2 linked regions of the Alligator mississippiensis genome follow. The protein of the gene in region 1 purifies or fractionates together with the protein of each later gene. This does not show direct contact. Links are inferred from orthologs where the notes say so. Each region holds a gene or a part of one and is shown on either strand. Other genes may lie near its edges.

The links.
Region 2: the proteins of PIDD1 (region 1) and CASP2 purify together in Homo sapiens (affinity purification with western blotting; 5 studies listed by BioGRID and IntAct, with this or other methods). This does not show direct contact. The link is inferred for Alligator mississippiensis from reciprocal best matches to the Homo sapiens genes PIDD1 and CASP2.

What each region holds. Positions count from the first base shown.
Region 1 is NC_081825.1:183,900,641-183,913,272, reverse strand, and holds the start of PIDD1 (p53-induced death domain-containing protein 1), read left to right. Parts: upstream 1-6,894; 5' UTR 6,895-7,218; coding exon 7,219-7,315; intron 7,316-7,552; coding exon 7,553-7,636; intron 7,637-10,797; coding exon 10,798-11,166; intron 11,167-12,632. Other genes in the region: RPLP2 (large ribosomal subunit protein P2), read right to left, coding at 187-309. UniProt on the Homo sapiens protein: Component of the DNA damage/stress response pathway that functions downstream of p53/TP53 and can either promote cell survival or apoptosis.
Region 2 is NC_081827.1:153,830,169-153,842,371, reverse strand, and holds the start of CASP2 (caspase-2), read right to left. Parts: upstream 5,466-12,203; 5' UTR 5,294-5,465; coding exon 5,144-5,293; intron 1-5,143. UniProt on the Homo sapiens protein: Is a regulator of the cascade of caspases responsible for apoptosis execution. Might function by either activating some proteins required for cell death or inactivating proteins necessary for cell survival.

The sequences.
Region 1 (12,632 bases):
GCCAGAGAACTAAAGCAGCAAAGTGTATGAGGCATTTGAGAGACTGTCACTGTACAGTGGCATTTGGAAAGGAACAAGTATTTGTAGGTACTCCCTTAAAGCAAAAGAAGAGCCCAGAAGCTCTAAAATGGTTTTAAATTCAGAAACTAATTTAGGCAACACATGATCAGCAGCAAGAATCATCACCTTGTTCACGCGTTCATCATCAGTCTCAATGCCTACGCTGTCCAGGATCTTCTTCAAGTCCTTTGACGTGGGGGACTCGTTGCCCCCAAGGATGGCCAGCAGGTAAGCCGCAACGTAACGCATCCTGTAACAGCACGAGAACCGTTAAGACAACAACTCTAGTGTCTGAAGGCACAGGAGGCTTGTCTCCCACTCTCTCAGGCCTGGTCTTTACTATGATCAAAAGCAGGGTCTCCATAGGAAGCAAAACACAAGTGAAGGGAAGGCTGACTGTGGTGTGCATGTGATTTCAGGAGGGGAAGGGAGTCAGGTCTAAATCACTGCTCCTTAGTACCTCTGTGATTTCTACATACTTAGGAACATAAAAACTTTCCAAGAAGAAAGCAGGTACAGCAGGACATCCAGCCCCTGGCAAATGCATCGGTAAACCAGGCCACCTGCCTCAGGTTCCCATTTTCCGACAGCCTAGGACACAAATGTCAGCCTCACACGAGCTGGCAAGCAGGCACGTTACGGCAAGAGGGAAATTAGGGAGCTGGGCATGACTTATAAGGAGAGGCTGAGGGAACTGGGCATATTTAGTCTGGAGAAGAAAAAACTGGGAGCATCTACACGTGTGTTGAAGTGCTTTTCCTAATGGACATTAAATTTAGTACCTCCTGAGGTACCAAACAAGTGCGCATTAAGCTGCCTTAATGCACAGTAACAAACGTGCAGTTTTTAAGTGATGCTTAATGCACAATAGCCTACTGTACTATGCATTAGTGCAATCGCACATTTCTTATGTGACGCTTTAATGCACAGTACAATAGGCTACTGGGCATTAAAGTGCTATGCTGACAGGCTCTGCTGTGTCAGGCTGCACCCCTCATCCAGTCCCCTGCAGTGGGGGAGAAGCGGCCGTTCTTGGTGGGGGTGTAAGGGGGAGCGTAGTAATACCCCCACGCCCCTCCTGCCCCTCTCCTCCCCACTACAGCCCCCTCCCAGGGCCGTGAGGCAGGGAGGCTGGGAGAGCACGTGGCTGCTACCCCCCCCCCCCCGCATGGTCTCGCCCAGGCCTCGCTCCCCACTGACGGCACTAGCGAGAGGGGGTTCTGGGCGCGCCCACTATAGGATATGGGGGGGAGCGGGCTCGCACACTCACTTGACCGAGGGCGGGAAAGGGAGTTCGGACAGGAGCTGGGCCCAGCAGCGTGTGCTTGCCGTACCAGGCCGGCGGTGAAAAGGGAAAGGGAAGGGCGAGTAGGGAGAATTCTTCCCGTCACTCCTCAACAAGCCACGCCGCCATTGGGCAAAGCGGCGAAAGCCAGGCAGCCAATGAGAGGACGAGGTGTTCTAGCGGCCATGACACTAGAGGTGAGGCTATGATGCCTGTTCTATGGGGGAGAAGTTATAGCGTGTGTGTGGTGCTAGATGCCTCGCCCTTTAGTGAGCGGGCTGCTGGGGTATGAAGTAGTTACCTAGGTGCCTTAAGTGCCTGTTTGTATGTGGGTGCACACCCTCTGCTGCTTCTCTGCAGACACCAGCCAGCCCCTGGCTGGGAGGATCTGTGAAACCCGCACAGGTGCTTTCCTGCAAGAGGCAGGTGCCACATTTGTAGGAGAAATTCCTTACGGGGGGGTTTCCTTCCAATTTAATAAACAAAAGGCTATTGGGTTATAGGGAAATGTCATATCTGTTCAGAAATGGAAACAGCGTTCCGGTCCCCCTCCTCAGCATGACCTGAGGGTCAGGGACCTGGAGGGAAGTCGCTGCAGTGTTTAGGCCAGTGCTTCTTAACCTTTTCAGACTTGAAGTGCCCCTCAAAAGACTCCAGGTGCCCCTCGGAAAACGCCAGCTTTCAGCTTTCACTCGGTTTTTGGCTGCAGAAAAATAACGGTACCGTTCTGCTGCAGTGAGCTTGGAAAACCCACAGCAGGGCAGAATGGCGTGAATGCTACAGGATTCCTATTTGGGGGCTTATCTTGTGACTCACGTTTGCACGCCTGAGTGCTCACATGGTGTAGCACCTTGCATCTCCCTTGAAAGGATCTCAAGGCATTGCAGCACCCGGCTTGAGCCTCACTGGTTTAAGTAGGCAGTCACACAGCTTGTACCCCAAAATGTGCGCTTCTTACTTTGTTCTTTACATCTGTGTTTTGTTCTGGTTATGTGTTTGTGTTAATAAATAATTAAAAAGGGGGAGGGGGTGGAATTGGCCTGTACATTAGACTATCTCTAGCTTTCTGATTCCTTTCCACCTAGAGCAGTGGTTCTCAACCTCAGGTCGTGACCCAAATGAGAGTTGCAGGGACAATGCATTTGATATCTGGACTCCAATACCTTGTACTGAAATGCTCAAGCCTAGTCTTCACGCAGAGGAACAGAGACGTACTGATCAATGTCACATTTTCCCCCCATTTAAGTCATAAGCTTGAAGAGTAGTTGATTAAAAAAAACAATAGATTGCATGACTGTTCTTGTGATTAAAACTGTTCAAAACCAAATATTGAGCAGAGACTGTTTTGAAGAAGTTAGAACTATTTTTTTCTGAATAGGATTTGGGTGTCTTAAAAATAGGTTTTAAAAATAGCAATTACTTTTTTATTGGAAATAGTTTCTTTTAAGCCCACTGAAATGAGATACCACCCACTCCCCCCACAGAGATTTCAGCTTTAAAATTCTTAATAGAAAAATGGAAACAGAAAAGAAAACATTTGTTTTCTCAATAATTTTCTTGGAATTTGGTTTTTAACTAGCTATAATTTGCCCATATCTCACACATTTAAAATACAGTCAAGTATTTTTTTCTAAATGCTAGCCCTACAAATCCAGGCTGCAATCAGAGTTTCTTCCTGGATTATAAATTGTCAGCAATAAAATCCTATTGTCAGCTCTCACCATTACGTCCGTGCTATTTGTGTGATTTGTCCCTGCTATTGGAATTTAATTCTCAATTCTGCAACTGATGCAAGCTAGGATAGTCTCTAGCCACCACTATCTGAACTGAGTTAGCTCTGCAAGCTAAGAGCAACAATTATTTTGACCAGTGAATTAATAAGGTCTCACTGGGAAGATTGTAACAATTTTATATATGCATTTTTTGGAATAGAACAAGTTTTGTGGGGCTTTTTTTTAGCAGCAAGCATCTTGAATCATCAAGATAGCAAGTGAGAGAATAGAAGGAGGGGTATTAAGATCCTACGAAGTGGTGAAAATGTGAGTCTGTTTTCTCATTCAAGGCTACATAGTAACTAGATAAGGACAAACTTAAATTCAGCTCTTTTGACTTCTCAGCATGGCCTTTAACTGTAGCTGTGCCACCAGGAGCCTTATTGATTTATTTATATAGAAAGGAATTCTAGTGATACTAAATTCAATGACTGCAGTATCAGGCCTTGTATTATTAAGATATAGAGAAGCAATTTTTTTACCGTTGTATACTGAGGATTTGCTAGTGGACCGATAGATGAGTTGTTTACACCTAAATAAATACCAGAAGTTGAATGTTATGTCCAGCAGACTGCATTTTTCCAAGTCCACTTTCAAAAGCAGATGCACTCAGGGATGTAAGCCATGTAGTCAGCCTAAATAACAGCCTACAGGGATGCTGTCCGTCTTTCAAAAAAAAAACCAAACAACTACTAGACACTAAAATCTTGAAGGAAGCTACATTCCTACATAACCCCACTTAAGCCAAGAGATATTCTGTCTGCAGAGCCCTTGCTGCTGGATGGAGACCCAAGCCTCCTATCACAGAAACCAAACACATGATTTATCACAGCCACAGAGTTCAAAACATTGCAGCTCTCCATAGTCACTGTGATTTAGCTTCTGCCAGGCAGCCTTACTCAACACTGTCAGAATGCTACCACCCATGTGAATACATTGTCTTTATCAGCCCAGCACCACACCTTTTCCTTGAACGATCAGTCCAACTCACCAGAAATCATCCACATATTTATTACCATCCAGCAAATGGCTGGGTTCTAGTTGCTCCTGTTGCACTCGTTATTCCATCCTTACTCAGAGATGGATGCTAACATTCACCCTACCTACTATTGCACCACATGAATGTCACAACACATTTATATAGGATTATTCAGACCACTCTGAAGTCTATACATCCTGACAAGTACATTCATGTGGCTTATTGATTAGAAGAGAGAATTAAATTACATCAGAGCACGGACCATGCTTGACGACGTATTTATTACAGCATTTATTAATGCCACAGAGCTTTGATCCTGGCTGGGCCTTTTTTGGCAGTAAATAATAGGAGATGATGATAATGGTTGCTATCAGTCACAGAGCTGGCCAAATCTGATTGGTAGGCCAGCTACCCTTCATTCAAGTTAAGTGGAAATAACAGTTATACACATTTATGTTATGATAACAGGAAACAATAGGAGACCATCACCAAAGGCAGAAGGACCCTGGGCAGAGCCTGAGTAAACTTAGGTGGTTTTAGGGATGCTCCTGGGATTGGTTATAAACAGAGGGGTTAGAAGATTAGGAGTTTGACTGTGCCCGTAGGAGAGAGAGACCAAGAGCCAAGAGGAAACCAGCTGATCGTGAGAGAAGCTGTTGTGTACACAGCCTTGTGAGGAACTGGGGTCACAGCTTCTTTTGGGCACATGCTTGAACATGCTTGAATTTCTGAACACACAAACCACCAGCTGTGTTTTGCTGCTACTGTGTTCTACTTTGTGCATATCCATTGTCTCTAAACATGATTACACTAAAGCCATTTCTGATTGATATATCCCAGCTCAGCCAATGTATACACTCAAGAGGAGCACAGAGAAAGTGCTTCAGGGAAGGTCCTCAAAGCCAACTTAAAAAAATGCAGCATCAGTGTCAACTCATGGGAGACTATCGCCCAGGACCGCCCCAAGGAGAGGAAGAGTCTGCTGCAGGGATCTCAGTACTTTGAAACCTCACAACGACAACAGGAGATGGAGAAGTGGGAGCAGCAGAAACAGCGTATTGTGGACCAAATAAAAAATCTAGCACCAACCACCCCACACAGAAACACATGTCTGAGCTGCAATAAAGTCCGTTGATCCAGGATGGGTCTCATCAGCCATCTTCGGACACACAGTAAGACAGTCATGGAAGACTGTCATCTTCGACTGTAAGGGATTGCCAAAGAAGAAGAAAAATATGTCCTTTTACCAAAAGTAGCCTGAATAGACACCACATTTTGACTAACCATTTAGGCCAACAGAGCAACAATAATAATCAGTGCTACCAACAGAGGTACATCAAAATGCCTTTATGAATGTAATTGATGTATTATTATGAGCAGCAAAGGAGATGGGGATCACATCTCAGGAATATAATTTCTGGGAACTTTTCAGGTAGTGGCTCCATGGGATATGTGTAGGATGGTTTATGGACAGCACATCCTACATCTGCACAGGGGTTTGGACTAGATAGCCTTTGAGGTCCCTTCCAGTCCTAGAATTCTGTAAGAAAATTCCTCTGTGTATGTGCAGCAACCCATATATCAGTAGTTCTCAACCTTTTTAGACTCAGAGCATCTCTCCTTAGACTCTTGGTAAAGGCCAGTTCTTGGTTTTCACTCATTTTTCACAGAAAAATAACAGCAATCCTTCTGTTGCAAAGAACCTGGAACCACCACAATGGATCACAGTGTTTTTGTTGCTAAATTCCTGCCTGAAATCTCCAGGTTTATGTCTTGGGGCATGCTTGCATACCTTGCAGTGGTACCCTGGAGCACCCCTAAAAGGCTCTCAAGGCACCCCAGGGACTACCACCACTCTGGTTGAGAATCACCTGTCTATGCACATTCAAACCACGCAAGAGGGGTTCTTTTGAGCCCCTTCCCTCCCAGGAGCAGCTAGCAGCTCCACAGCCCCTCATCCTCCTCCCCCTGGCACAACAGGGAGAAGGTGGCCAGCAGATCAGAGGCCAATCCCCCCCAAAATGTTTTTTGTTTAAAACCCTCTTGTCCCTTCCTAGCCTGGAGCATGTGTGTACTTGGTTGGGTTGCCTGGAGTTTCAAGATCTCCTTTTCTGCCCATCTTTATTTAATAGTTGCCACCTCTTTCCCAACTCTACCGTCTTCTTCCATCAGCCTGTTTTGTCCCATTTGCTGATCCTGGACTGTAGTGTCTGCCGAGGTGGGAGTGGGGCACGGTCAGTCTTCTCTGTTCAAATGGCCAGCACACTAGTTCCCTAGGGGGTCGCTTATGGCCTAGTCAGGGATGATCCTGCCTTGAGCAGGGGGCTGGACTGGATGGTCTCATGAGGTCCCTCGCAGCCCTACTTTCCTGTCGTGCTATGACCTTGGCCGCACTCCGGAGCCCCTGATTGAGATGCACTTGAGCGGGGCTGCGTCTTTAAGCCAAGGGAGGGCCTGTCCCGGGGCCGGGCCGGGCTCGGATCAGTGGCGCGCCGGCGGCCGGACCCGGTAAGAGCCCCACGGCCGGCCCGCGCCCACGTGCTCCCGCAGGGCGACGGGGCAGGGGGATCGCTCCTTCCTCCTGCCCCCGGGACCCGGCCTGCCTGGCTCGCCCCCCACCCCGCGCCGCTTCCCGGCTAGCAAACTTGTTGTAAAGTTTGCTGGGCGGAAGGGGAGGTTTCCCTGCTGCATCGGCCCGCGCACAGTAGGCTTGGGGGGAAGCGGGGAAGGGGCAAGCTGCAATCTTGCGTGTATGTGTGTGTGTGTGTGTGTGTGTGTAAGGGGGGAAGGGGCAGGCTGTGATCTTGGGGGTGTGTGCAGGGGAACAAGCTCTGATCTTGGATGTGTGTGCGTGCAAAGGAGAAGGGGCAGGCTGCAGTCTTGGATCTGTGTGTGCGTGTGTGTGGATCTAAGAGTTCCTCCCCCGCCCCTGTCTTTTTCCCCCTCCTCTAGTGCCAGGTGTTGGGGGCTGCCTCCCCTCCCCCCCCCCCCCACCGGGAGTCTGTCATTCTGGGCTTCTGGGACTTTCACCCCCAGGGCAGCTCAGGGACGATGCCATGGCTTGTGCCCCAAGTGCCCTGGAGCGGCAGTGTCATTTGGGGCCCTGCCACACATTCAAATGAATGCCAGATAGAAACCAGCTACGAAGTTGTCGCACATTTTCAAGCCCTCGCTTCGTAGCTGGGTGGCTCTCTTCACAGCTGGATGGATGTTTTTCCGGTATGGTCTTTCTTTGCATGGGTGACCAGTCTAAATTTATTGCGGGGTTCACCCATTGGTTGCAGAATGTATGTAATGGGTGGCAGGGGCCTCAGTGGCTGGAGCATTAGACAGCAGAGGGCTGGGTTGCACTCCTGACTCTGCCCCTGCTTTGGTGGGTGACCACTGGGGCTCACTGTATGACATTTCCTCCTCTGCTGCAAATGGGTAAATGATGCTGCCCCCTCCAAAACCTAGGGTTGTCAGATGAGAACAGCCTGCTGCCTTTTACATTCACTTTGACTGGGATAACGGACTATACAAATGAAGGAGGCTGTAAAGGTGAGCTTTCTTTCAGTTCATACTGTCAATGTGGTCAGTAAAAACCCAGGTTCCAGGCTGGAAGCAGACAACAGACAGAACTTTTTTCCCACTTCAGCAACCTGCGTAATTCTTAAAGGAAAAAAAATGAATGAGGATAATATGATACTGTCCACTATCACAGTAAGCAGACTCTTGTCAAGCCCTTCTTATCCTGGAAGGCTGTGTGCGTGGCCTCCACTGCTCTTCCTGCTACCTGCTAGTGCATAAACTGAGATTTTTTCCCCTCCTTTGTCTCTGCACATTTTAAGCAAATGTTTATTTCCTATTATGCAGCAAAGGAGTAGAGAGTCCACGTAAGAATATTGCATGAATCCTTGTACATTATCCCTTACTGTAATAGTAGACCATATTGTGTTGTCCTTATTCATTTTTCTCCCTTTAAGAATTACGTAGGTTGCTGATGGGAGGGAAAAAGTTCTGTCTGTTGTCTGCTTCCAGGCTGGAACTTGGGTTTTTATTGACCACATCTGTGCTTCTTGGCTGCGGTCCTTGCAAGATATTGATACTTAAAAAAATGGATGTTGCTTCATGTGTTTCAGTAGCAGTTGAAGGCACTCCTCATTTGCACAAAGAGCATCCATTTGAGTGCTTGACCACGCACCCCAGCCCCCTTTTTCAGGTGCGGTGCAGTCCATATGGCCACCACAGAAGTCAAACTTCTGTCTCACTCCCAGTTTCTATCCTTGACTCCCCTACCACATCTTCTGTTATCAGCGCGCAGGTCCTTGTGAGGAGAGAGTCTTGCTGATGGGGTATAGTGCTGCTCAGAAACAAGATGCTCCAGGGTCTGCTGGCATGCAGTCTCCTGCAGCTGGTCCTTCCCAATGCAACATCCTGCTGGGCTCATTCCCAACCACTATATTCCCTCAGTCCCTGCCAGGCCTTTCTGGCATTAGCATCTTGCCTCCATTTTCCTCAACAGGGACCAAATCAGCCCGTCCGCCGGGACCCCCGCAGGCCCCGGTGGAGGTGCACCCAGGCCCAGGGTCAGTGAGGATCTAGTCAAGGAACTTCTGGAGAGACTGGATGTATTTAAATCAGCTGGTCCTGACGACCCACCCCAGAGTGCTGAGGGAATTAGCAGAGGTCATTGTGGGACCTCTGGCATAGCTCTACGAGCACTCGTGGTGCTCTGGTGAGGTGCTGGAGGACTGGAAAAGGGCCAATGTGGTTCCCATTTTCAAAAAAGAAAGGAAGAAGGACCCAGGAAACTATAGGCCAGTTAGTCTTACCTCAGTCCTGGGAAAGCTTTTTGAGAGAGTTATCCTGGCGCATGTCCACGAGGGACCGCAGGGGAAGTTATGCTTAGGGGCAACCAACATGGGTTCATTAGAGGCAGGTCCTGTCAGACCAACCTGGTGGCCTTCTACGACCAGGTCACAAAATTCTTAGACGTAGGATAGCAGTGAATGTAGTCTTTCTGGACTTCAGGAAGGCCTTCAAGACTGTCTCTCACCCCATTCTCATTAAAAAACTAGGGGACTGTGGTATCGACACCTACACAGTCAAATGAGTCACTAACTGGCTGGAGGGCTGCACCCAGAGAGTGGTGGTGGATGGGTCATTTTCAACCTGGAGGGATGTGGGCAGTGGGGTCCCCCAGGGCTTGGTCCTCAGACCTGCACCATTCAACATCTTCATCAGTGACTTGGACAAGGGGGTAAAAAGCACCCTGTTCAAATTTGCAGATGACACGGGGATGTGGGCACGCTAGAAGGGAGGAATAGACTGCAATTGAACCTAAACAGGTTACAGAGGTGGGCGGATGAGAACAGGGTGGATTTCAACACTGACAAGTACAAGGTGCTGCACCTGGGGAGGAAGAACCCGCAGCAGACCTACAGGCTGGGGAACTCCCTTCTTGTCAGTGCAGAGGCAGAAAAGGATCTTGGAATCATTATTGATGCCAAAATGAACATGGGCCAACAGTGTGGGGACGCGGTCAGGAAGGCCAACCACACCTTGTCATGCATCCACAGATGCATCTCAGGCAGGTCCAAGGAGGTGATCCTCCCCCTCTCTGTGGCACCGGTCAGGCCGCAGTTGGAGTACTGCGTCCAGTTCTGGGTGCCACACTTCAGGAGGGATGTAGACAGCATTGAGAGGGTCCAGAGGAGGGCCACTCGCATGATCGGGGTCAGCAAGGCAGGCCCTACAAGGAGAAGCTAAGGGACCTGAACCTGTTCAGCCTCCACAAGAGAAGGCTGAAGGGGGATCTAGTGGCCTGTTACAAACTAGTCAGAGGGGACCAGCAGGCATTGGGGGAGTCCCTGTTCCCCCAAGCACTACCAGGAGTGACTAGAAATAACGGTCACAAGCTGGCAGAGGGTAGATTCAGGCTAGACATCAGGAGGTGCTACTTCACAGTCAGGGCAGCTAGGATCTGGACTCAACTTGCAAGAGAAGTGGTGCTGGCTCCTACCCTGGGGGTCCTTAAGAGGAGGCTAGATAGATGCCTTGCCGGGTCGTTTGACCCCAGTACTCTTTCCTGCCATGGCAAGGGGTCAGACTTGATGATCTGTCAAGGTCCTTTCTGACCCTACAAACTATGAAACTATCTCCCAAATCTCCCTTTAATTCCTTGGATGATCCAGAGGAGTGCCAGTAGCTCTTCTTTCTGGTACGCTTCAGCTTCAGGCTTACTTAGTGTCATCTTCTCTGGCCTGACATGGCTTGGCTTGACCCGCATGGCCTTGCTCCTACTTGCACAGCCATGCACCATCACTCTGTAGACTGAAGACAGGGCTGAGGGGGTCCAGTCCTAATTCTGCCACTGGTCTACTGGTTAACCTTGGGCGTATCTCTCCATCACTCTGTGCCTCAGTATCCCCAATTTGTATTTTGGGGACAATGATACCATCCTCCTTTGCCAAGTACTTTGAGATCTGCTAACCTAAGATGTGACCCTTTCGGTATTCATCATTATCTGATTAAAGTCTCTTTTTGCCTGGGTGACTACACCGATGAAATTCTTGGAGGTGGCTTTGTTTTCTGTCTAAAGGGAGGGAATGCTTTCTTGGTGGCTATTCCACCCCCCCTTCTTCTGTCAATCTGTGGTGAAATAAATACAGTGCCCATATGTACAGGGCTTCACTGAGTGCTTTGTCCTCTTTTTTCAGAGCCTCCTGTCTCCTTTTCACGGCTGCCTTGCAGTGGTGCTGCCAGTGCTTGCCCGCCTGGCAAGTCAGAACATGCTTGGTCCCCAGCAGACCGACAGCAGAAGATGGCCAAGCTGCAAGAGCCTGGGGATGGTTTGGGGGAGGGCATTTTGGTGGCTCCCGAGCTGGATGGATCTCGCCTTGCAGGCAACAGGCTTAACCTGGACGTTTATCCTGACGGCTGTCACCAGTTTCTTGACCTGTTTGACAAGCAAAGGAAGGAAGTGACTCAGGTGGAGTTCCTGCGGTTGAACTGCAACGAGGACCTCATAATCTCCACGCTGGCCATCTTGCCTGCCCTGAGGACCCTGAAATCCCTGGTCCTCAAAGGTAAGCCTGCGCATCTGCAGGACAAATGGACTTTCAATTTTCACTGTGCACTAGCTGCCCTTTGCAGTGGCTCCAGGTCTCAGCTGAGCTGGTTGGGAGCTGCATACAAATGGTAGATTTCAGCAAGATGCAGCTTAAGGACATTTACGCCCTTCCTTTGTTTCCACAGTGCCCGGGGACCAATTTCCTGACTTGATTCAGTCTGACAGGTGCAGTCTTTTATTGTAAAGTCACTTGAAATGAGATGTTGGGGGGAGCTTCAGTTGAAGAGAGTCTGATCTGAAGATGTTAGAATGTATGGTCACTTGTTTTCCTCCCTTCTCATCTCCCTTTTTTTGAAAGCGTAACAGTCCCTTTCACTGGATTTCATTCTGTTCTGGTTTTCTGGCCAGATCATAAACCAAATGGCATTAGCATAACATGGGGAAGAGGGTTCAAGGAAGGTCAGCTGCATTTGCAGAAGGGGGTTCTTGTCATTTTACCCGGAGCACAAAAAATATCAGTGAGGATGTGCATATATATGATTTGGAGCCTGTGGTCTGATAATGCTTAAAAATATATAGAGAAACATCTGTTGACTTTTGTATTATTTTTGGTTTGGGGATCTGTACGCTACAAGAATGTGCCTAGTAACCTTTAACAATATTGAACCACCCGGCTCTCAGAAGGGAAACACATAGATACTTCCATGACAAAAGGGCAGCCCAGTAGTTAATGTGGGTCAGGGACTTAGTCCCTTGTTCTACCACAGACTTTGTATGTGACTGTGGGCAAATGACTTAATTTCTTGGTTCTCCATCAGATGACACCACTTGTCTATAGATGACAGCCCATCCCTGGAGATGACAACATTTTCCTATGGATAACCAAGCATCTTGCAGCACAACAGAGTGTGTACCAGAGGGTTTTTCTCCTGTGTCACACAATAAATATTAATACTGAGGAGAGAAGCAAAGTAACAAATAATTAGTATGTTTTTATATGCCTCTTAGTAAACCAGTTATTTGTTACTTTGCTAATCCAGGGTTTCCCAAGTAATCTTTCTTCCACTGTATAACAAAAATCCTCCGGTATCCTACGATGTAAACATTCACATAGGGATGGCAGAAGAAAGGAGTACGGAGGATACTGGTATATTTTTTGAAGGCTGAGCTTGACTCGCATGTTGCTTTTTAACACTTTTTTTTCTGGGTGTATCACTTGCCTTATTAAATCACAAACCAGCCAGAAATCCTTTGAGGATGCCAGGAAGGGCCTTGAAAGTGCAGACAAGCAGCTTATTTAATGTGATAGAGCAGGGGTGCTCAGCCCTCAGTGCATGGACCAGATCCAGCACATGGATATCCTCATGATCTGAACATTTGGTAGTGGGGAAGCAGTGGCATCTAACTGCCGTTCCCCAGTTGCCAAATTTCTGGACCTGTGGGGAGCTCCATGGGGCAGATGGTGTGGGCCCATGTGCTGAA
Region 2 (12,203 bases), on another chromosome or scaffold:
GCACATACACACACACACAGAACCACATGTGCACAAACACAGAGAACCAGAACAGACACATGCACACACACATCCAGAGCCAGACATGCGTGCACACACAGACGCACAGAACCAGAGGCAGACAAACATACAGAACCAGATGCATGGGTGCACAGAGCCGGGCTGCTGGGCCACCAGACAAAGTCCGACCCAACAATGCCCTGGGCCTGCCAGAGCCCCTGTGCTTCCTTGGGGAGCCAGCCCCCGGGCTGCAGTATGGCCAGCCGAGGCCCCGGCCCAGAGCCTACCAATCAGCCCAACCACCTACCCACTCCACACACCTAAGCCCACAAATGTGCGGCACTCCTGGCAAGGGGCAGTGCCAGCCTCATCCCAGTACAGCGGCTGGGCCAGCGCTGGGCTTGGAGCAGGTAGGAATCAGGCCAGCTCAGCTGCAAGCCCTGCTGCAAGGAGCCCGGCTCCGTAGTTGACAGCAGTTACCCAGAGCTGGGGCTGGCTGCAGCCAGGAGTCTGCAACCAGCTGCACGCGTGCCTTGTGGGGGGGGGAGGGGGAAACAGGCCTGAGGCAGCACAACCCCAGCCTCTCCCCTGCTGCCGGCACAAAGCTGATGACTGAGCTCTGGAGCCTGCAGCAGCTGCTAGTTGCCAGCCTGGGCTCTGAGCCACTGCAGCAGGCAGGCTGCAAACAGCTGGGCCAGGCTCCAGCATCAGCTCTGTACTGGCACGTGCACACATGACTTGGAGCAGGCTGCGGGAAGGGCCCAAGGCAGTGCAACTCCAGTCTCTCCCCCGCTACCAGCAGGCTCTGGAGCCCAGTGCAGCTGTTTGTAGCCTGCCTGGGCTCTGGGCAGCTGAATCAAGCAGCAGGCAGGCTCTACAGCTCCGGCATCAGCTCCATGTTGGCAGTGACTGTGCGTGTAGTTCAGAGTGGCCATGTCTCTGGAACACATTGGCATACGCTGACAGAACCATGCTCGTGGGAAGCTCCTCAAGCACCAGCCCCACCACCCACTTGCGCAGGAGGCAGAGGAAGGGCTCGAGGGCAATGGTAGAACTAGCCTTACAGCGGGCAGCCTTGATGCACTCCCCAGCTGAATGGGATGGGCTCCATCAGTATCCAGTTGTGCTGGACCATACGCTCTGCAGAGGTGTACAGCACCTGGAGAAACCAAATGAAGCAGGGACCAAAGCCAAACACCCTCTCAGCATGCCTGTGAGGTAGCCAAGATCCGCCCTGTCAAACACCATCTTCTGGTCAAGGGACAGGAAGGCAAATGACAGGCTGTCCCTACAAGCAAGCTTGAGGAGATCCTGCACTAGGTACAGGATGCTGAAGATGGAGCTCCCTGGAACTGTTTACATCTGGTCACATTCACCCACACATATCTCAGGTGCAGCGAAATGGCTTTTGCTATGACCTTGCAGTCTGCAGAGAGAAGTGAAACTACGTGCCAGTTCCTCAGGTTGAGGGAAGAGGGTCCCTTTTTCTAGCCAGCAGGGTCAGGACAGCCCTCCTTCACAACAGGGGGAGCTCCCCATCCCTTTCAGACACAGCCCAAACCCCAGCTAGGTCTGGGTTGAGGACATCCAAGAAGGCACAGCAGAACTCCACAGTCAGTCTGTCAATGCCCAGAGCTTTGTTGGTGGGCATCAGATGGAAAGCATCCAAGAGCCTGGCCAGGGTGACAGGACACTTGAGCAAGTCCTGGTTGACCAGGAAAACCTATGGCAGTACCTTCCCACAGGACCTGGCAGCCATATCAGCATTGGCCAGATATGATGAGAAGAGCTCTGCATAGAAAGCCCTCACCCTTCGTTGCAGTTCACCAGAGTCCATGAGGTAGGTGCCATCCTCCGTCAGGAGACAAGTGATGTACCTCTTGGCACCCCTCCTCTTCTCTAGAGCACAGAAGCAGTAGAAGCCACAGTCCAGTCCACCTCCCAAAGGAGCTTGATGCGTGAGCAGATGAATGCACCGCAGGTGCAGCAGTCATGCAGAGCACAAAGCTCCTTCCCCCTCTCAACACTCTCCACGCAGGGATGCATAGTTTGGGTCAGCAACCAGGCAATTCTCCAGCTCCTGAACTTCCCTCTTGAGCTGCTCTCTAGCAGCTGTTAGGTGCGCCCCCGATGTAGAAGCAACAGTACTGCCTGACACAAACCTACCTCATGTCCCACCATCTCTGGGTCAAGGGAAATGCTTGCCGCTGCCTGCACCAGGCCAGCCAGAACTCCTGGAAGGTGACCAAAGACCACATTTTCCAGCAGGCTGTTGCTAAAATGCCAGGAAGCCAGCCTTGGATGCTCAGGCTGCAGAGTAACCTGAGTGCATACCAGATGATGGTCACTGAAGGGGGCCAGCCTAGTGCTGGAGGCATGGACTTGGGCGGTATTTAGCATGGACCTGGGCGGTATTTAGCATGGACCAGTAGATTCAATTCAACTGAGTAGATTCAATTCAACAATTCAGGGTATCCGTTACTCCTCCACCCTGACAAAGGTGAAGGTGGTGGTGTTGTCAAGATGGTTCACGCACCTGGGTGGCATTGGTGCCCTCCCCATAGTCCTGGGGAAGGGAATCCTCCCCATCGGGGCCCACTGGCACGAGCCCCTGGACTCCCATCTCCCCCAGGTGGTCGGAGTGGGGGTCTCTGCCATCAGACCTGCCCCAGGGTGGCTGGGGCTGAGGTCCAGTGCCTGTAGTAGTTGGGGGCAGGTCAAAGCCGGCTGAGTTGGGGGGAGGGAGTCTTCTCCATAGGCTAATCTAACATAGGATGGCCTTGCCATCCTGGGCCCTCTTCCATGTTGGTAACAGTTATCTTTTTTATTTTTCCTGGAGGTGGGATTCCTGGTGCAGCTCGGGAGGTGGTGGGTATAACATCAATGTCAGCCCTCCTCTTGGATGGTGGGAGGGGGAGCCTCCTTCATACTGGAGGGCCCAAGCTGCGTCTGGGCTTTGCACTTTACCTTGCAATGGATGGTAGATCACCACCCATGTGGGACCAGCACCCAGCCAGCCTCAGGGTGGCCTGAGGAGGGGTCTTCCTGAGATGCTGGAAGTATCGTGGGGCTAGGAGGGAGTAGCAGTGGTGGGGGCTGGTGTGCCCCCCTCCCTGCTTTGGGACCCCACTGGTGGCTGTGGCATTGGGGGGGGGGGGGGGTGTCTCCTGAGCTTGCCAAGGGATTGGATGCTAGGGCTGGGTTGCCAGTGGTGGTGGTACCTCTCTGCTTGGGGGGTGGGAGTGCTGTGGTGCCCCCCATCGCTAACTGAGGGGACATTCTTGGCAGAGGTGCCCCAGTACCCAGTACCAGAAGTACCTAACTTCCACCACCATATAGTTAATGTGGTTGAGGGACCCCTGGAAGGAGACAATAAAGGTCCCCCCTTCACCTCCAGCTGGATGGTGACTTGACCATACACTATGCAGAGGCATACAGCACCTGAAGGTGGTGGAAGGACTGGATGTGGGGGGAGGTTGGGGTCCTGGCACCCCAGCAGGAGAGTGGTGACCAGGGATAGAACTCTCCCCAGGCTTTGCAGGAAGGGCATGAGGGCCCAATTAGGGACGTAAGGGGGTGGGGCTGAAGACCACCCGAGTTCCCAGCTCCTCCAGGGGCTTGAGTGGGACACGCTTTCCCCCCCACACTGCAAACCTCTTCTCTGCCGCTTCCTGTATGGCAGCCTCCATGGCAAGGTAAATGATAACCTTGCGGTAGTATCTGGAGACTGTCAATCTCCAGGGGCCCCCACTGCCTGAGTGAGCTCACATAGTTCTCAAACGGTGGTGGCTTAATCTCAGGCATGTCGCAGTGCACCCCACTGTGCCTGCTGATGCTGGGGAGGGGACCCCAACTGCCTGAGGATGTGTGGGCAGAAGTGGAAGAGGGCCCAGGCTCCGAGGCTGCAAGCTTCCCTGCAGCCACCTAGGAATAGCTCCAACTGCTGAGCTGAGCAGCCCTGCTTGCAGAGATGAAGGAAGACTGAGTGGGAGGGGCACCTGCAAGTGTTGCTAACTGGACTTTCTTTGTAGGCCCTTTACTCTTCCCACCCCCTGTGGAGGAGGAAGAAGAGGAGCCCTTGCCCTTTCCCCTGCCCTGGTTGGGCTTGGGGGCTCCATGGCCCCCCTCGAAGAGAGACTGGCCAGTGGGGAAACCCCTGCCCCTGCAGGGTCTTCCCCAGCATATTGGCAGCTCCCTCAAGGGACTCTTGCCATATCATGGGAGGCTAGGTTGGAAGCAGCGGTCGCAGGAGAAAATATTATGTGGGTGCTGGGGTTGCGAGTGCATGGCAGGATGCGGAGAAGTAGTGCAGAGATGCCCCTCCCCCTCACTCGGGGCTGTTGCGGGGCTGATGCATGGCAAGTACACTGGGCATGCCAGTGGTGCTGGAGCAATGGAGCTGCGTTTGGGGGGGCTAAGCCCCATTAGCCGCAGCCTTCTGCTGCCTATGGTGGGAAGGAGTCAGGTGGGGTGTGAGGGAGGGAGCTGCATGCTCCTCCTCTGCCTGGAAGGAAGAAAGTGGCTTGCTGTGGGGTGCAAGGTGCCTCCGCAGGCTGTACTGCAGGGGGGAGGAGGGGAGCTGTGGGGGGGAACACAAAAAGACAACAGGGACATATGCAGAAAAGAAAGGGAAGCATGCTGCTGACTTAGCGGATCACAAACACCAGGAGAAAGGAAGTGGAGCACAGGACCCACCACAGGAGGGTAGACACAGGGGTTGCTCCTAGACCAGCTAACAGGCAGACATTGCTGGTGGCGGCATTGTGAGGTCCCCTTTGGCTGCAGGTGGCCCTGGTCATGCAGTGGTCGTGAGGCAGGACCAAAGGAGAGAGGGCTGTAGGTCCAGCAGGAGGCGAGGGTGGGGAGAGCAGGAGCCTGCAGCAAGCAGTTCCTCAGGCCCCTGCTCCCTGGCCCAGCTGCAGCATGGGGGGGGGCGCCCCTGGTGGCCATATGAGACGGAGCAAGATGGAGCTGGGGCCCGACCCACGAAACAGCAGCTCCTCTATTCTCAGTTCAAGCTCACAAGGGCCCGCATGTGAAATGCCGCATCCCCGCGCCCTAGCCCGTGCCGTGGCCGGCTCCCGCGAGGCAGACCAGGTCCCGCAGCCCGGGAAGGGAAGCGGAGGCCGAGGCCCCGCCCTACCTGGATGGCCTCCTTCATCTCCGGCGTGAGCACGGCGCGCGCCAGCAAGTGCTCCAGCAGCTCCTGCAGCACCAGCTGCTTGGCCAGGGGCACGCGGTGCCTGCGCAGCGCCTCCTGGTGGCACGGCTGCATCCCGCACGCGCCCGACATCGGCCCGGGCTGCCCCGCGCCGCGCCGGGACTGGGGGCTGCTCCGAGCGCTCAGTGCGCCAGCCCGACGGCCCCGCGCCCAGCCCGCCCAGCGCTTCCGCCCCGCTTGCCAAAGCCCGTGTCAAATCAGCGCGCATACGCGGCCGCGCCCAACCAGCTCTGCAACTCGTGGTCACGTGAGCGCCTGCGCGCGAAATCTCCACTTCGCCGCCATAGCGGTTTCCGGCACGGAACAATGGAGTCCCGTGTACGCGTGCGCCGCTGTTCTTGTGGCGGAGTGGTCGCGTGCAGCCCGACCCAGCAGGAGGCGAGGGTGGGGAGAGCAGGAGCCTGCAGCGGGCAGCTCCTCAGGCTCCTGCTCCTTGGCCTAGCTGCGGCATCGCAGGAGGGGAAGCAGGCGGGAAGGCGGTACTGGACGCTGTGAAGAAAGCACAGAAAGCCCCTGGCTGGGAAATCCCGGGAATCAGGGGTTTTCTGGGTTTGATGCCCACTCAGTGCTTTGGTCTCGGTACAGTACGTTGCTGCGAGGTCCCTGCCGTAGCCTACTCGAAAGGCATCAGAACCAGTTCAGAAAGACGGTATTACAAGAGTACGAAGCCCATGCGGATGGCTCACGCGTGTCCTAGAAATGGTAGCAGCGTTTCAAGGACTTTGAATTTAGTAGATTGCCAGCGTGTCCTCCCTTCCCCCCCAATGCCCTTGAGGCTGGTCCCTAGAGTGGCTGGCAGGTGGTACGTGGTCTATGATAACCCCAGGGTGGGGTGGTGTTTACCTGGTATAGGCAAGGGACTTGATCTCACAAGGAAAGCATCACTGTGGAGGGTCTGGTAAGAAGTCTAGCTAAGCCGATTCAGTTCCCTGCCAAGAGAGGTTTGCTGTTCTTGCGGGCGTGAGGGACCCACTCCTTCAAGCATTCTCAGACTCCTGGCAGATGTGAATATAATGCTGTGATTGGGATCTGAGGAATTTCGTGCCCGATCCCTGAAATCGCATGTTCTTCCATCCCAGACATGCATGAAAGGACATGTGATTTTTGGGATGGGACATAAAATTCCTCAGATTCCAGTTGTGTAACTGCCACAGCCAAACTGGACCAAGCTGGGGGCAGCTAAGTCTTGGATCTCAGGGCTGCCTCCTGCCTGATCCCAACCCTCAGTTGATCATCAGGATCAGATGTAGAGCAGTACCCAGTCCCAGTTTGAGATCCAAGGATCAGGTAGGGGTAGTCATGTCCTGACCTTGCCTTATACCTGATCCCAACAATCAGCTAATTGGGATCAGGCATAGAGCAGTCCCAAAACCTGCCACGTGCTCAATTTAAAGTGATTCAATCCACATTTAATATGGAACATCTCCATGGCTGGTTTGCTATTTATGAAGTCATAAATTGGCTAATATGTCGCATCTAATTAATCACATGATTAACAGTTTTCTTGTGCAATAAATGAAACATCTGCCAGGGCCTTCCAGCCCATATTGGTTCAATATATAGTTGAATACTTCACAAGGATAGGTTTCTAACTCCTCTGGGAAAATGAGGGTTTGTGAATTAGCTGAGAGTATGTATAGCTGCTGCAATTTCATAGATTTCATAGACATTAGGGCTGGAAGGGACCTCGGAAGATCATCGAGTCCAGCCCTCTGCCCAAAGGGCAGGAAGTCAGCTGGGGTCATAGGATCCCAGCAAGATGAGCATCCAGTTTCATCTTGAAGGTGTTCAATGAAGGCGCTTGGACAACCTCTGGTGGCAGGCTGTTCCAGACCTTGGGGGCTCGGACAGTAAAGAAATTCTTCCTTATGTCCAGCCTGAAACGATCTTGTAGTAGTTTGTGACCATTCGTCCTCGTCATCCCTTGGGGCGCTCTGGTGAACAAACGTTCCTCCAGATACTGGTGGTCATCCCTGATAAACTTATAGGTGGCCATCAGATCACCCCTGAACCTGCGTTTTTCCAGGCTAAAGAGCCCCAGGGCTCTCAGCCTGTCATCGTAGGGTCTGCTTCCCTGACCTCTGATCATGCGCATGGCTCTTCTCTGGACTCTCTCAAGCTTCTCCACATCCTTTTTGAATTGTGGAGCCCAAAACTGGACGCAGTACTCCAGCTGCGGCCTCACTAAGGCCGAGTACAGGGGGAGAATGACGTCCCGGGATTTGCTTGAGAAGCATCTATGGATGCAAGCCAGCATTTTGGTCGCTTTACTAGCCGCAGCATCGCATTGCAGGCTCATGTTCATCTTGTGGTCAATGATGACCCCCAAGTCTCTTTCTTCCATAGTGCTAGCCAACACAGCACTGCCGAGCCTATAAGGATGCTGCGGGTTTTTTTTCCCCAAGGTGGAGAACCTTGCACTTATCGGCATTGAACACCATCAGATTCTCATCCGCCCACTTGCTGAGCCTGTCCAGGTCAGCCTGGATCATCCGCCTGTCTTCTGGTGTGGATGCTTTGCCCCAAAGTTTGGTGTCATCTGCGAACTTGGCCAGTCCGCTTCTGACTCCAGCGTCCACATCATTAATGAAGATGTTGAACAGTATGGGTCCAAGGACAGAGCCCTGGGGGACCCCACTGGTCACAGGACACCACGATGAGTGACTTCCAACAATTACTACCCTCTGGGTCCAACCCCGGAGCCAATTTTCCAGCCAGTGGATCGTGGAGGACCCAAGGCGACAATTGGCCAGTTTCTCCAAAAGACGATCATGGGACACCAGATAGAAGGCTTTTTTGAAGTCAAGATATATGACATCAATCTCATCTCCCTTGTCCAGGTGATAGGTCACCTGGTTGTAGAAGGAAATGAGATTGGTCAAGCAAGACCTACCCGCAACAAACCCGTGCTGGCTATCCCTTAAGATGTTGGCGTCGGCCAGTCCATTAAGGATGGCCTCCTTAATAAACTTTCTAAGATCTTCCCCGGGATAGAAGTCAGGCTGATGGGCCTATAGTTAGCCGGATCCACTTTCCTCCCTTTCTTGAAGATAGGCACCACATTGGCCTTCTTCCAGTCTTCGGGCACTACACCAGAACACCAAGAGTTTTCAAAGATCCGCGCTAGGGGCTGGGCTATGATGCTCGCCAGCTCCTTGAGTACCCTGGGGTGAAGATTGTCAGGGCCGGCTGACTTGAAGGTATCCAGCTTCTCAAGATGTTCCTTCACAAAGTCAGCATTAATGGAGGGCAGGGGATCACCCTCACCCGGACTTCCCGGCCCTGTAGCGGGCATGGGCATCCCATGGGGCTGATGAAAGACTGACGCAAAGTACCTATTTAATAGGTTGGCTTTTTCCTGAGTGTCAGTTGCCCCATCTGGTTCAGCAGGGTCCAACATTGCCCCTGCTTTTCCTCCGGCTCCCCACATATCTGAAAAAGGACTTTTTATTGTCCTTGATGCTCAAAGCTAGCTGGAGTTCAGTTGCAGCCTTGGCTTTCCTGGTCTGCTCCCTACAGGACCAGACCAGTGCAGAATAATCCTCCTTGGAGGTGACTCCCATCCTCCATCCTTTGTAGGCCTTTCTTTTTAGCCTCAGGAGGTCTGCTAGGTCCCTGGAGAGCCAGGGGGGCTGCTGTGCCCTCTTGCTGCCTTTCCTCTGAGATGCAATAGACTTAGTTTGTGCATTGAGGATCACTCCCTTGAGGAGCAACCACTCTTCTTGAACTCCCCTCTCCCTGTGGTCACAGTCCCTTAGGGCCTCACTGACAAGCCTCCTGAGCTTGTCAAAGTCGGCTTTCCTGAAGTCAAGGACTTCCGTGTTGCTGATTTGCCAGCTTTTCGGCGGATGGTGAAGGTGATCAGCTCGTGGTCGCTGTCACCCAGCTTCCCATCAATCACTAGGTCGCCGACTAGGTCATCCCCAGTAGCCAGTACCAGGTCGAGCAGCGCTTTGCCTCTCGTTGGCCCATAGACTTCTTGAGTCAGGTAGAGGTCATCCACGTACAAGAGGAAGCTCTGCGACCGCTCAGATTTTGCTGAGCAATCCTCCCACGAGATGTCCGGGTAATTGAAGTCACCCATGACAACCATGGCCCTGGAGCAAGCTGCCTCAGCCGGTTCCTGGGCAAACTCCTGGTCAAGCTCAGGACTTTAGGTACAGAACCAGTGAATTTCTGAGTGGAACTTCTCCAGTCAACTCCAGTCAGACCACTTCTCCAATCAACTGTATGAGACCACTGATGAGCTTCAGCTGATAAAAGAAACAGAGCCATTTGAGGTAAAATCTGCAGCAAAAAGCTGAATGGGTTCACTTTAATTAGGCAACCCACTGCAAACAAATAATTCAGGTCCTGTATAGTTCTACTCTTCCACCCACTCCGAAGACTTATTTTCTCTGACTTCATACAAGTCTTTAATTTACTCTCTGCATTTAAAACTCCTCCCCCAGATAGATTTCAATATGAAGGATTCTGGGAGGACTCTGGGAGAGACTTTCCACTCAGCTGGAAATTACAAGGTGTGATAGTCACAATATATGTTACCTGAGATGCTTATGACCAAAGGGACTATGGTTTTCATGGAATCATGAGGTTAGAAGGGCTATCAAAGGTCATTTAGACCACCTAGTTTTGTAGAAACACATTCATTTCTTCTACCCTCAGGCTCCAAAAATCCATTGTTCAAATAATGCCACCTTTTCCTCTAGCCCTGGTCCTTTTCATAAGATGACCAAGTCAGCTGCCCAATGGAGTGGTGCTGAATGGTTACCCACTATATTGCAGGGAAACGTTAGTTTCCAATGTGAGTTGATTTTTCTTAATCTAAATTCATAGGGCTGGATTTTTTAGAAATAATTTATATTTATAGAGCGTTATATATTCAAAGTGCTTCCAGTCATTAACTAATTACATTTCACAATGCTGCTATGACGCAAGTATTATTATAGGGAAACTAGAGTGACTCAGCAGCAGAAGTAGCAATTGAATTCCTGCCCTAGAGCTATGGCTATCCAGAAACACCCTAGAAGTAGGAGATAGCTTAAATTAGAGCGTTATGTGGCTCACTGGGATATATTCCCTTTCTTAATATAAAAGACAAGGTATCTAGTCTTTATGGCTGTAGAGCTAAAACTACAAGTGTGAACAAGTTATATAACCCATGAAGTTATGTCTGTCCACATCTTCAAAAAGCTTGAAATCAATGTTACTGTAGCCTTCTATTGCTCTGATTACACAGTTAGCTCTAAGAGCCAACAGTGCCACTTAGCCACTGTCAATATTAATTTCTTAGTCACGTTACCTCTTTTAAACCAAACCGTTCAAGGCTCTGCAGATTGTTTAACAGAAGGATTAATTAATGACTGAGGCAGCTTCGACGCAATCCTTTTCATTTAAAGATGATGTACAAAGTCCTGTTTCCTTGAACAAAAAGGAATCAACTAATAGAAAATTAATTTGCTCTCAACTCCCAAGACTTTCAACCTGCGCTCAGCCAACAAGTTCTTATTCTGGGGTTTTCCTCATGGCCATAGTCGGTGCTTTATGGCTTTCTGCCTTATGCATACCCTGCCACTAAAACAATATGTATTCCTCTCCAATATAGTTTGGCTTAGTCATGTTACACAGCTTACATATGGGCAATCTAACGTGACATCAAAGAGCCAGACCCCAGGGCAATGAATCATGGGTCAATGACTGGCATTAAGGTCAAAAGCCAGCAGAAGCCACAGACAGAGCAACACTCATGAAGACTACAGTTGTGCTAAGGAGTCTGCAGGCCATTTTTCACATGGTTCAGTTGCCTAGTTCAGCCTATGAGGTAGCATGCAGGTAGCCTGCCTGACGCACCAAACTGGTCAATCAGACAGGGCAAGGGTTGCACGTATATTTTTTGGTTTGGGTAGTAGCATGTGTCTCTATTTGGCATGGAGGCTACTGAAAAAATGTTAAAATGTTGGGCAGACACTTGACTGGAATGTTTTAGTTAGGAATGATCCTGCCATGAACAGGGGGCTGAACTAGCACTGCTTTCCTTTTGGGTCCCTTCTAGCACTGCTTTCCTTTTGATCCTATAAATCTGTGGTATGTGTACTTTTGTACACATCATCAATCACCTTACCCTTAAGACTAAATCACAAAAAGCAGCAAGCAGGGGGATCTATTTCCCCCCCACCCCTTCCCCTTGAGCAGGGTGGAATAGGATGACACTTAGTGCCTAATAGATGGAATATAATGTTGTTCTATGAGGCTAAAGGACTGCCAAGTAAAGCCATCATGATCTTCCCCTTTGACTTCCTGCAAGTTATAGGCTACAGAACTTCTTGCAGTAATTAGTGCATCTAACTCAATGAGCTCTGGTTAAGCTATAGCATACCTTGATTTAAAGACTTCAAGTAATAGAGAATCTACCACAGCCCTCAATGAGCTGCTTTAGTAGCTCATTACCATCGTTCTTAAAACACCAAATGTTATTTCATGTTTGAACGTTTCTAGCTGTGCCCTTCAGAAATAATGTAAGACCACCTTGTACATGTCAGCTTAACTGGCTGGCCTTTTGGTAGTGCAGTCATCCCATTCTACTTGCCAGGCAATCAAGCAGCCTGGCGTCTATTTTAATTTCTGCCAAGACTGTAACTGCAGTCAGGAAACTTCAGTACAAATATTTAAAAAAACCAGGCTACTAATTTGAGTGCTTACATTCTGAGGCACTTAGCTTGATTGAAAGAAGTACTGAATTCCTCTAACTTAAATTGGAATGAGCAGAAGTTGCAGGTTCTGAATACCTCTGAAAATCATACCCTTTTATGATTCAGTTTGAGTTCCCCAAAACTGCAGCATTCATCAAACGTGGACACTTTTAAGAAAGTTGAACTTCACTACACTTCAGTTTCTTTGGCTTCAAAATGTGGGTAATAATGCTTTGTCACTATTTGTCAGGAACTTTGAAAAAGTACAGATCAGTTACTGTATTAACCTTCCC